3 linked regions of the Diceros bicornis minor genome follow. The main gene of each other region encodes a partner of the protein of the gene in region 2 in a complex. Links are inferred from orthologs where the notes say so. Each region holds a gene or a part of one and is shown on either strand. Other genes may lie near its edges.

Region 1 (3,743 bases), on a different chromosome or scaffold from region 2:
TTTTGTGATGAGAGTGTTTAAGATCTACTCTCTTAGCAACTTTCAAATATACAATACAGTACTGAAGTTTTTTTCCTAAACATTTTATACTTTTATATTTTACATTTAAGTTTATGATCCATTTTGAGTGAATTTTTGTTTAAGGTAGGAGGTTTAGGAGGAGGTTCTCTTTTTTTGGCCTATAGATGTCCAACTGCTCCAGCACCATTTGTTGAAAAGACTTCTGATTCCACTTTTGTACCTTATTCCATCCATTCCTCATACAGCAGTCAGAATGACTTTTTTTTTTTTTTTTTTGTGAGGAGATCAGCCCTGTGCTAACATCCGCCAATCCTCCTCTTTTTTTGCTGAGGAAGACGGCCCTGGGCTAACATCTGTGCCCATCTTCCTCCACTTTATATGGGACGCCGCCACAGCATGGCTTGCCAAGCAGTGCGTTGGTGCGCGCCCGGGATCCGAACCAGCGAACCCCGGGCCGCCGCAGCGGAGCGCGCGCACTTAACCGCTTGCGCCACCGGGCCGGCCCCCAGAATGACTTTTTTAAATGTGTATCAGAGGATGTCATGCCCTGTTCAAAACCCTCCAGTGGCTTCCCACCCCAACATAATCCGGCCCCTCTGCAACCGCATTTTCTGCCACCCCTTGCCCCTGTAATTCTCGGCCTCAGACAACCAGCGGACTTGCTCCCTCACTTCATGCTGGTCTGTTCTATTGTCACTTCGTCAGAGATTTCCCAGCCAATCTTGCAAAGTAGTTTACTCCTTCAATCTTTCCCCCTTGCCTTGCTTTTTTTTAGCAGCATCTACATAATGCACTACATTACGTATTGATTTGCTCGTTTGTTTATTGTTTGCCCCCATTCCCAACCCCACCAGATGCCACAGAAGAGTTTACTGCTATAGCCCCAGACCCTGGACTACGGCCTGGCACCGAGTAAGTACTCAATTAAGAACTCATTGCTTGACAGGCTGGAAAGAATGAGGACACGTCAAGCGAGAGCGACTTGTCTCCTTTCAGGTCAGGCGCTCGCGAGCGCCACCTCTCGGGAAGCCAATTTGCTGGAGAACGAAGGAAGTGAGTCACAGAATCTTAAAAAACAGGGAGCTTGCCGGAAGAGCATGCAAGACCAGGGCCGGAAGTTAAACATGGGGCAGTTGCTCCCTAGAATGACAGCCGGCTCACAGGAGGAAGCGCGGGCGAGTGGTGTTTTGCAAAAGGCGCTCTCCGGCAGCCGATCTGGGCAGAGGCGTTCCGCGCGTCCGGCTGCCGGCAACCACGTGGGGCCGGGCAGGTTTCCGGTGCCGGGGGCAGCAGGCGGAGGTGAATCCCGAGCAGCTGGAGGGGTGAGAGGGGATCGGGTTCTGAGAGGAGAGGGAGAGGAGTGGGGTCGGGGGAGGGGGAAGTGGAGAGGTCGGGTGAGTTCTGCTCCGAGAGGTGGGAGGGGATCGGATGGGAGGGCAGGGCGGGAGCGCCTGCGGCAGGTGCCAGCCTGTCAGCGCACGTCCCGCGCCACGTGGACTCGCCTTTGTCCTGGCTGCCTTTCCCATCAGGCCGCAAGGACAGGAGTGGTGCCTTATTTGTCTCTGTCCTCTGCAGTGCTGGGCACGGAGGTGGTGCTCAGTAAGTGCTTGCAGAATGAATGACAGATGTGTGTGCCGGCGTGGGTGTGGAGGGACGTTGATAGGGACAATTTCTGGCTCCTAGCCCCGTTTCCTCCTGGGGAATCCATGCTGTTTCCAGCTTCCATCGGGAGTTCTCCGCCACTCCTGGGGCTTTGCCTCTTTTTCTTCGAGGGGCAGGGTCAAGATCATTGAAGACTTTTTTTTTGCTCTTATTGAGTGCTAGGCCCTGTGGCTTGGTACCAGGGACAGAGAGAGGAGTAAACCATCCCTGTTCAGTAGTCTCCCCTTAACCACGGATTCGCTTTCCGAGGTTTCAGTGACCCGCGGTCAACCTCCGTCTGAAAATATTACATGGAAAATTCCAGAAATAGACAATTCATAAGATTTAAATTGCCCGCCCTTCTAAGTAGCGTGGTGAAATCTCGCGCTGTCCTGCCGCGATGTGAATCCTCCTTTTGTCCAGCGGACCCACGCTGTAATATGCTACCCGCATTAGTCACTTAGTGGCCCTCTCGGTTATCAGATCGACTGAGGCGGCATCGGGTGCTTGAGTTCAAGTAACACTTATTTTACTTAATGATGGCCCCAAAGCGCAAGAATAGCGGCGTTGGCAATTCGAATGCGCCAAAGAGAAGCCGAAAAGTGCTTCCTTTAAGTGAAAAGGTGAAAGTTCTGGACTTAATAAGGAAAGAAAAAAAATCGTATGCCGAGGTTGCTAAGATCTACGGTAAGAACGAATCTTCCATCCGTGAAATCGTGAAGAAGGAAAAAGAAATTCGGGCTAGTTTTGCTGTCGCACCTCAAACTGCAAAAGTGACGGCCACAGTGCGTGGGAAATGCTTAGTTAAGATGGAAAAGGCTTTAAGTTTGTGGGTGGAAGACATGAACAGGAAATGTGTTCCGCTGGATGGCAACATGTTGCGCCAGAAAGCGTTGAGCCTGTACGAAGACTTCAGCAAGGGATCCCCTGAAACAAGTGAGAACAAGACATTTACTGCGAGTAAGGGATGGTTACACAGATTCAGGACTAGGTTTGGACTGAGAAATATAAAAATTACTGGAGAGGCTGCGCCTGCTGATGAAGAAGCCGCTGCCACGCTTCCGGCAGAGTTGAAGAAGCTGATTAAGCAGCAAGGATACCAGCCCAAGCAAGTCTTCAATTGCGATGAAACCCGGCTCTTCTGTGCAGTACAGTACGATAAGATATTTAGAGCGACAGACCACGTTCACATAACTTTTACTGCAGTATATTGTTATAATTGTTCTATTTTCTTATTAGTTATGGTTGTTAATCTCTTAGTGTGCCTAACTTATCAAACTTTAGCGTAAGTATGTATACATAGGACAAAGCATAGTATACATAGGCATACCTCGTTTTATTGCACTTTGTTTTATTTATGTGTTTTTTACAAGACCCTCCACCAGCAAAAAGATTACGACTCACCGGAGGCTCAGATGATGGTTAGCATCTTTTGGCCATAAAGTATTTTTTTGATTGAGGTGTATACATTGCTTTTTTAGACATAATGCTATTGCACACTTAATAGACTACAGTATAGTGTAAACATAACTTTTATATGCGTTAGGAAACCAAAAAATTCCCGTGGCTCGCTTTATTGCAATTTTTGCTTTGTTGCCGTGGTCTGGGACTGAAGCTGCAGTATCTTGGAGGTATGCCTGTATATTGTTTGGTACTATCCTCGGTTTCAGGCATCCATTGGGGGTCTCGGAACATATCTCCCGCAGATAAGGGGAGGCTACCTGCATACAGGCTGTAGACCAGTGGGGAGACAGACACACAAACACAACATTCAAATATATTAAGGTGCTATAATAAGAGGTTAACAACTGAAGTCCAGGATGGTGGAGCCAGGAGGTGGTGCTGCTCTCCACATTAGGGACTGTCTTTCAAGGTGAGGGCCTCCTTTCTCATCTGGTGGAGACAGAGCAGGTCGTGAACCCAGTCTTCTTTGTAAAAGGAAAGGTCTGGAATAGACGGTCTCTAGATTTCCTTCCACCATGATGTTCTAGATCAGATATTATTGACGGCTCTAGTTCACAATCCTCCATTTATTAGTCAGATTATTCATTACATCTTATGATGTGGCGTAAATTGCATAG
Region 2 (3,743 bases):
CCCCCTCCACCCCCACCGCGCCCCACCCCGCCTCAAGGCAGGGGGCAGGCGTGTGGGCAGAGACACTCGGGAGGCGAGGGGGCGAAGCGTGAGAATCGCTCCCAGTTCGGCGCGGCGCGCTCCCCTCCCCCAGCACACACTCGGGGAAGTTTAAAGAGCCGGTTCGACCCGCTTTCGATCTCACTCCCAGTTGGCCAGCAGTGTGGATAGGGTTGGCCGGGCGAACCGCGCCTCCACACCCACCCGCCGCGACCCGGGCCCCCAACTTGGCGCCCTTCCCCCTCCGAACAGGGGGCTTCCGGAAAGTACGCGGGAAGACCACGGCTCCGGCCCCTTCCCCCATCACCACACCCAGCCCCCAAATCCGCCGGCTCGCGGTCCAAGCTGGGATGAAACCGGCCAGAGAAAGGCAAACCACCGGCAAACTGTTCGCGGAAACTCCTGCCTCCTCCGACGGGCACCCCCTCCCCTCCCTCCGCCACCCCCCTCCCCGCCCTGCGCGCCATAAGGCACGGCACGTCTACAGTCCACAGCTGCGTTATGATGGGGGGGGGCACAAAAACGATCTTGTTTTCAAAAGTCTCACTCAGGTTTGGGGGAGGAACTAGAGAAAAGAGGAAGCAAGGCCTGCCTTCGCCAGGGGTTCGGGTTTTAACGGGCTGGAGGGGCGATAGGTCAGCGCACAGTGCTACCCAAACTCCCAACTCTGTGGAACCCTGGCCACCGAGGCGCGGGGGGGTCCTCCGGCCTGCGCTCCCCTGGTCCCCCGAGGGGCCACGAGGGGAGTCGGCCAGCGTCTCCGCCCCAGACCCGGGGTCCCCGACGCTGAGCCGCCAACTCACATAAAACACTGTCTGAAAGCGAGAGGGAGACAGAAAAAGGAGCGTTGAGTAACCCACCTTCACCTTCCCCTCCTTGGGGGTGGGCTTTCGCCCGAGCCTCCCAGTTCCCATCCGCGCAAGTTTCCTCTGGCCGTACTCCCGCCGCTGCCCAATCAATAACGGCGACCAGAAGGCAAACTCCCATCCCGGAGCTGCGTGTTTGCTGTGCCCGCATAAATCTGGACCCAGCCAATACCCACCACGGGCACCAGCTCTGGGCAGCTCGCGTCCTGACAAAGTTTCCCGTGCCCATTTATTAACCAGGCGCCGAATGGCTGCCGAGGAGCCCACCCTAGAGAAAGACGGGCCGGGGTTCCCGGCGGGGGGCTTGAGCCAGGGCTCAAGGCTGGCATCTGAGGGAGCCCGGAAGGAGCAGGGGCGAGGGGGACCGGGACGTCGCCTTTGGGTAACTTGCAGTAGCGATCGCCCGAGGTGCGGAGGCGCGGGGATTATCTGTGGCTTCGAACGTTCGAAAATCCCTCCCCCCTTCTTCCAATTTATCCTCCCTTCTGAAGAAAAGGAAGAAACATCAGCATCTGGCCCGAAGGTGGGGTGGAAAGAGTGAGGGAGAAAGAGGAGGAGAGGAAGGGAGGCAGAGAAAGGGAGGGAGGGAGAGAAAGGGCGCGTTCACGAACACTACAAAGTTACAAATATGGCTCCCCCGTCTCTCGCCTCATCACTGCAAAGAAATGAAGACGCACTTTAAACTCGAGCCATTCCCAACTCCACTGCAGCCCCCTCCCCACGCGCTCTCCCCCGGGGCCTCGGCCCACATTTATCAGAAACTAAACCGGACTCGCGAAGCCCAAAACTTATTGTGTGTGTGCGAGCGGAGAGAGAGAGAAAGGGAGGGGGAAGGAGCGGGAGGGGGCGGAAGGGGGGATTCATTTATAAAATATAAACCCCCTTTTTTTTGTTGTTAAATCCAGGAGGCAGCCCCTCTCCTCCTCCTCCCCTCGTTAATCTTTCCCCCAGACGGAGTCACGGGAGCAGCGAGCTCAGAGGGTTATTTTGCCTCCTTCTCTCCGACCCAAACGCGTGCGCCCGCTGGCCCCCGATGGGTGCACACTCGCACGCACACTCTCGCACCCACATTCACACACGCGGGAGCACACGCACAGGTAGTCACACACCAAGGGCAGCGGCGGCGGCAGCCGGAACATGCTCGGATGGCATTGCAACCCCCCAACCTTGCAATTCATTTGCAGTCCGACCCCCAAACCCACACCTCCCGGGCGCCCCCCCTCAAAAAAAAGTGCCTCCCCCCAACGCGCGCACACACACACAAAGTAGGAGAATGGACCGACAGAGATATTTTTGGCAAATGCTCACATCAGAGGGCGTCCTGTTCCGCAGCTCTAAATGAATCCGTTTGTCCATGTCCATCTCTCGCGCTCTCTCTCTGCAGAGGCTCCCGCGCCGGCGGAATTCAATCAATAAACCCCGAACCCACGGCCGCGCGTTTTAGGACTTTGAAGGCTCAACCAGATCCGCTCGGTTCTCGAGCCCCCAGCACCCGCGGCGCACACTAACCTGATCACCGTGGAGGCGGGATCTGCGGCCCCGCAGATGAGCGGCAGCAGCCTGAGCCAATCGCCGCCGAGGGTCTCCGGGCAACAGCCAATGGTGGCGGCGGCGGGGGGGAAGGGACCAATGGGCGGACTGCGCAGCCGGCCAGGGAGGCTCAGCCATTTGGTTGTGCTGCCGGGGACGGACCCCTTTAGATTTCGGGGCAGCTGAGGAGCGCGGCGGCTGCTCGGTGGCTGAGCGAGGGGGGTGGGCGGAATGGCGGGGGAAGGGACGGTGACTGTGCCTCGACGGCCGAGCCGCCTGGCCTCACCAGCCCGCCACCGCCTCAGCGTTTGGCCGGGGGCGGGGCCGCAGGTGCGTTATACGAGGGGGAGGGGCGCGGCCGGAGGGGTCGGGTCGGGGTCTCCGCTGGGCCGCCCCGGGCCTGCCCGCGCCGCACCACGGGGTTGCGGAGAGAGGCGGGCGGCGTGAGGTCTGGGGGCCGAGCGTTGCTCGGCGGGCGGGCGGATGAAAGGTCTGGAAGGAGGGGGAGGGGTCAAGGGTGCATTGGGGGAGGGGCTGGTCATTTTCTGGGTCCGGCGGGCTGAGCTGGTGGAGCGTGGCTGCTGCCCCCCACTTCCTCCGCGGGCTCCCACCCCTGGGCTGCGGTTCCCAGCCCGCGCGCCCCTTCGCCTGCCGCCTCGTCTTAGTCCAGCCGCAGCCGTCGCCGCCCCTCGAATAAATAAGTAAATAAAAGCGAGATGCGTCCACCTTTGGATGACTTACCTCGCGGTCTCGACTGTCTCCACGGAGGGGCATTTCAATTTGCTGTGATATAAGGTCAGCTTGGAAGGAGTGATCACCAAGAGGCACCCAGGATCTCGTTTAGTCAACAAATGAATGGAGACCATGCATTAAGAATTGTTGCTGAATATATTGAATATTAAAAAGTGGAAAAGGAAGGTGCTAATAACTCCTGGTTTTCTGGACCAAACGTAATTTATGGGCTTTATAGACCTAGTGAAAGAAAACGGCGCACAGTTGACGCTCATCGTCCACCTGAGTCATTTGGTTCAATTTGGGTTGCCAGAGAGGCTCTATTTGGAGCACTTTCTCCAGGTTTTACGGTTTGCTTGCTTTGGGTTTGTTTGAATCACATTAGTTGTGAGAGACCTTAAAGCCTTAATTCCCGCTGGTTACCAACTTCTTATGGCCAGGCCTAGGACCTTGTGTACTAAGTTAGCTGCCTATTGCTGTTAATAAATCATGAGGATTGTCGTCAACAAGGACAAATACATTTTTACCCTTCCACAACTGTTTTTTAGCCCTTTTATTTCTACGTGTCTACACTCT
Region 3 (3,743 bases), on a different chromosome or scaffold from region 2:
TCCCCGGTCACTGGCTCCAACTGCCAGTGCAACGTGGAGGTAAGTGCCCAGGGGCAGGCAGGGCCGAGAGCGTGGCAGCTCTCTTGGTGGGTAAGGTGCAAGGACCTGTGCAAGGACCCCATGCTCCTTCTAACCCTGGTGCCACCACTCAGAACCCTCCTCACCTGGGGTGGCTAGGAAAGATGCTGCCCAGCTGAGCAAGGTGTTAGGGTGCAGGAACTGTGAGACCTGACCTCAGTCTGTGCCCTCCCCCAGGTGGTGAGAGCGCTCACGGTGATGCTGCACAGACAGTGGCTGACAGTGCGGAGGGCAGGGGGGCCCCCAAGGACTGACCAGCAGAAGCGGACAGTGCGGTGTCTGCGGGACACGGTGCTGCTGCTGCACAGCCTGTCCCAGAAGGACAAGCTCTTTAGTGTGCACTGTGTGGAGGTCCTGCATCAGTATGACCAGGTGATGCCAGGGGTCAGCACGCTGATTCGAGGGCTTCCTGACGTGACAGACTGTGAAGGTGAGCCGGCAGGAGGACCCCTCCCTACCTCAGCCCCAGGTGGGGTTTTCCCTCAAGTTCGTGGCCAAGTCAGACTTCCCGGCCTACGTCACAGTCCTCCATCCACCACAGCCTTGGCCAGCACTGGGGTCATTCTTATCTTCCTGCTCTGGTTCTTCTCTGTGCATATTAGGCTGCCTTTTGCTCACATCTGTTGAGCTGGCCTGGCAGAGCCAGGGTTTTTCCAGAAACATCCCTGTCTGAATTGCCTTTGTATCATTTTGCTTGCAGTAGCTGAGGGAGCAAGGCCTGGGCGTGGAAGGGACTGGTTAGTTCCTCTGGGCGTGGGGGGAGGAAAGGTGGGACCTCCCCCAGTCCCCAGCACCTTCAGGCCTTCACCAGAGGACGCTCTTCTTTTTTGGCTCAGAGGCCGCCCTGGATGACCTCTGTGCCGCTGAGCCCGATGTGGATGATCCCGAGATGGACTGTGGTTGAGGCCTGTGAGCATCGAGCCACATGGTGGCACCAGCACCACTACTCTCCTCACCTTGTCAACTGATTAAAAGCAGTGACCGGCTGTTTGAGAACAGGCCAGCCTTGTTTCCTGAGTCTGATCTGTGTTGACTGAGTGGGAGGGATGAAGCAGGAGCGGGACCCAGGGAAGGCTGGGATCTTTCTTCCTGTCCCTGGCTGGAGCTGAGATTCGGTCCCCATGGTAACAAATCTGCTTTGAGGAAGAAGCCCTGCCCTCCCTGTGGAATTGCCCTGAGTCATCGCTTTGGGCTGAGGCCATGGGAAGAAACCATTGTGTGACAAGGAAGGAGGCAGCCCTCAGCCCAGGCCTAAACCAGGGAGGCCTGGGAAAGTGGGGCCAAGGGGTGGGCGCAAAATGGCCACGGCAGGGGCTCCTGGCAGCCTTGAATCCTGGAGCTAGCCTTCCCTAATAGCCTAGGCACCACTGCCCTTGTCCTCCCAGCTGGCTCACTCACTGGTGTGAGGGCGTGAGGGCTCTGGTGCGTTGTGCCTGCCAGCAGGCACACAGCTATAGATCTGAGAAGGCCTTTGAGGAGTCACTGTGAGCAGAGGGGTGCTGGGGAAGGAGGGGTGTTGGCAAGAGAGGGGCAGACCAGGCAGACTGACAGCAGGGCGGGCTTTGCTCACGCCAGGCCGTGGGCGGGCTCAGGCTGAGTTTCACTTCCCGCCACTGCTGCCAGCAGCAAGAATCAGCCAGAAAGTGTGCGCCCCGAGTCATTGCTGCCTGCCTGCTACTCGGTAAGTGAGGACCCCCAAGGGGATAGGGTAGGTTCCCTTATCCCCACCCTGAACCCCGCCAGACTAAGTGGGCATTAGGGGAGGAGCCAAACCTTCCCAGACAGACAGCTGAGTGTGCTGATGCCACTAAGGAAGCCACCACCCTCTCTGGCTTCCTGTCCTGAAAATGGGTCCTGGAGTTCACCAACAGTGCCTGCCTGTGCAGGGGAGGCCCACGCCACCCCCACCTGCCTTGGATTTTATCACTGGGGCACTCACATGCCCACTCCCCACCCCATGCTCTTTCCCAGGCTCAGCGGCAGGTACCCACCATGGGCTCGCAGGCCCTGCTCCCGGGTCCTGTGCAGACCCTCATCTTCTTGGACCTGGAAGCCACTGGCCTGCCATTCTCCCAGCCCAAGGTCACGGAGCTGTGCCTGCTGGCCATCCACAGATGTGCCCTGGAGAGCCCTCCCACCCCTCAGGGGCCTCCTTCCACAGTTCCCCCACCACCCCGAGTGGTGGACAAGCTCTCCCTGTGCGTGGCTCCAGGGAAGGCCTGTAGCCCCGCAGCCAGCGAGATCACAGGCCTGAGCACAGCTATGCTGGCAGCGCATGGGCGTCAACGCTTCGATGCCAACCTGGGCAACCTGCTCCGAGCCTTCCTGCAGCGCCAGCCACAGCCCTGGTGCCTCGTGGCACACAACGGTGACCGCTACGACTTCCCCCTGCTCCAGGCAGAGTTCGCTGTGCTGGGCCTTGCCAGTGCTCTGGACGGCGCCTTCTGTGTGGATAGCATTGCTGCCCTGAAGGCCCTGGAGCGAGCTGGCAGCCCCTCGGAGCATGGCCCAAGGAAAAGCTACAGCCTGGGCAGCATCTACACACGCCTGTATGGGCAGGCCCCCCCAGACTCGCACACGGCCGAGGGTGACGTCCTAGCTCTGCTCAGCATCTGTCAGTGGAGGCCGCGGGCCCTTCTGCAGTGGGTGGATGCTCACGCCAGGCCCTTCAGCACCGTCAAGCCAATGTACGGGGTCACAGCCTCTACTGGAGCCAACCCAAGGCCATCTGCTGCCATAGCCACTGTACCCCTGGCCAGAGCCAAGGACACCAGTCCCAACCTTGAGGTGGGCAGGAGGCCCAAGGCCCTTCCTCCAATGCAGAGCCCTGGAGCCCCACCCAGGGAGGGACTGCTGGCCCCACTGGGCCTGCTGGCCTTCCTGACCTTGGCAGTAGCCACACTGTATGGGCTGTCTCTGGCCACACCTGGGCAGTAGGCCAAGAAGGAGAGTCTGACTAATAAAGCCCCCACAGCACTGAGTGGTCACTCGCCTCTAACCCTCCTTGGCAGCCTGAGAGCCTCCTGCACCTCTGCCCACATTCAGGGACCTAGGGAGGGGGCCTAGAGAGTGGCACAGTCTTTGTCCCTCACCCACCCTAGCAGGATGGTCAGATGTCTGAGCCCAATAAAAGTAGGGAAAACATGGAAATCCAAGCGTTGGTACCTAGCCTAATGCCGAATCCCAGCAGCCAAGGCTCTGAAGAAAGGGGGCAGCAGCTCCAAATGTTTGCATTTATTATAAACAAGGGTGCAGACCCTAGACTCTCAAAAATACGTGAACAAGTACAAGGCTAAGACAGATCTGGTGAGACATTAACAGAGGAACAGGGAACACCGAGGTATTCATGTCTGGGCCAGAGCAGCCACCCAGGGCCCCCCTCCACCTTTGGTCCAGACGGCCTGTTGGCCCAGGTGTCCCCGCTGCCAGGACAAAGTGTCGACTAGTGTACAGGAGCTGGATATTCTGTGAGGCTGGTGTCAGGGGAAGCAGGAACTATCAGAGGTCAGATGGTGCCTCTCCTCTGTGGCCCAGTTTCCCTCCAGGACCCAGGGGTGTCAGCCTCACGGCAACTATCACACACATTTTGAAACAGAAAACAGGCAAAATATTTGGCTAAAAGTAAACAAAAACACTGCAGGGAGGACACCTGAGTGTGTAGGTAG

What was found.
Region 1: ANP32A (region 2) and nucleoside diphosphate kinase A 1 share a complex: the UniProt entries of both Homo sapiens proteins name them as parts of the SET complex. The link is inferred for Diceros bicornis minor from reciprocal best matches to the Homo sapiens genes ANP32A and NME1.
Region 3: ANP32A (region 2) and TREX1 share a complex: the UniProt entries of both Homo sapiens proteins name them as parts of the SET complex. The link is inferred for Diceros bicornis minor from reciprocal best matches to the Homo sapiens genes ANP32A and TREX1.

What each region holds. Positions count from the first base shown.
Region 1 is NC_080757.1:35,294,300-35,298,042, reverse strand, and holds the start of nucleoside diphosphate kinase A 1, read left to right. Parts: upstream 1-1,246; 5' UTR 1,247-1,343; intron 1,344-1,549; exon of another isoform or gene 1,550-1,620; intron 1,621-3,743. UniProt on the Homo sapiens protein: Major role in the synthesis of nucleoside triphosphates other than ATP. The ATP gamma phosphate is transferred to the NDP beta phosphate via a ping-pong mechanism, using a phosphorylated active-site intermediate.
Region 2 is NC_080744.1:62,645,423-62,649,165, forward strand, and holds the start of ANP32A (acidic leucine-rich nuclear phosphoprotein 32 family member A), read right to left. Parts: upstream 2,713-3,743; 5' UTR 2,574-2,712; coding exon 2,415-2,573; intron 2,400-2,414; exon of another isoform or gene 2,268-2,399; coding exon of another isoform or gene 2,214-2,267; intron 1,322-2,213; exon of another isoform or gene 1,235-1,321; coding exon of another isoform or gene 1,082-1,234; intron 1-1,081. UniProt on the Homo sapiens protein: Multifunctional protein that is involved in the regulation of many processes including tumor suppression, apoptosis, cell cycle progression or transcription. Promotes apoptosis by favouring the activation of caspase-9/CASP9 and allowing apoptosome formation.
Region 3 is NC_080741.1:49,818,271-49,822,013, forward strand, and holds the start of TREX1 (three-prime repair exonuclease 1), read left to right. Parts: upstream 1-1,144; 5' UTR 1,145-1,759; intron 1,760-2,049; 5' UTR 2,050-2,070; coding exon 2,071-3,015; 3' UTR 3,016-3,743. Other genes in the region: ATRIP (ATR-interacting protein), read left to right, coding at 1-39, 256-508, 915-982. UniProt on the Homo sapiens protein: Major cellular 3'-to-5' DNA exonuclease which digests single-stranded DNA (ssDNA) and double-stranded DNA (dsDNA) with mismatched 3' termini. Prevents cell-intrinsic initiation of autoimmunity.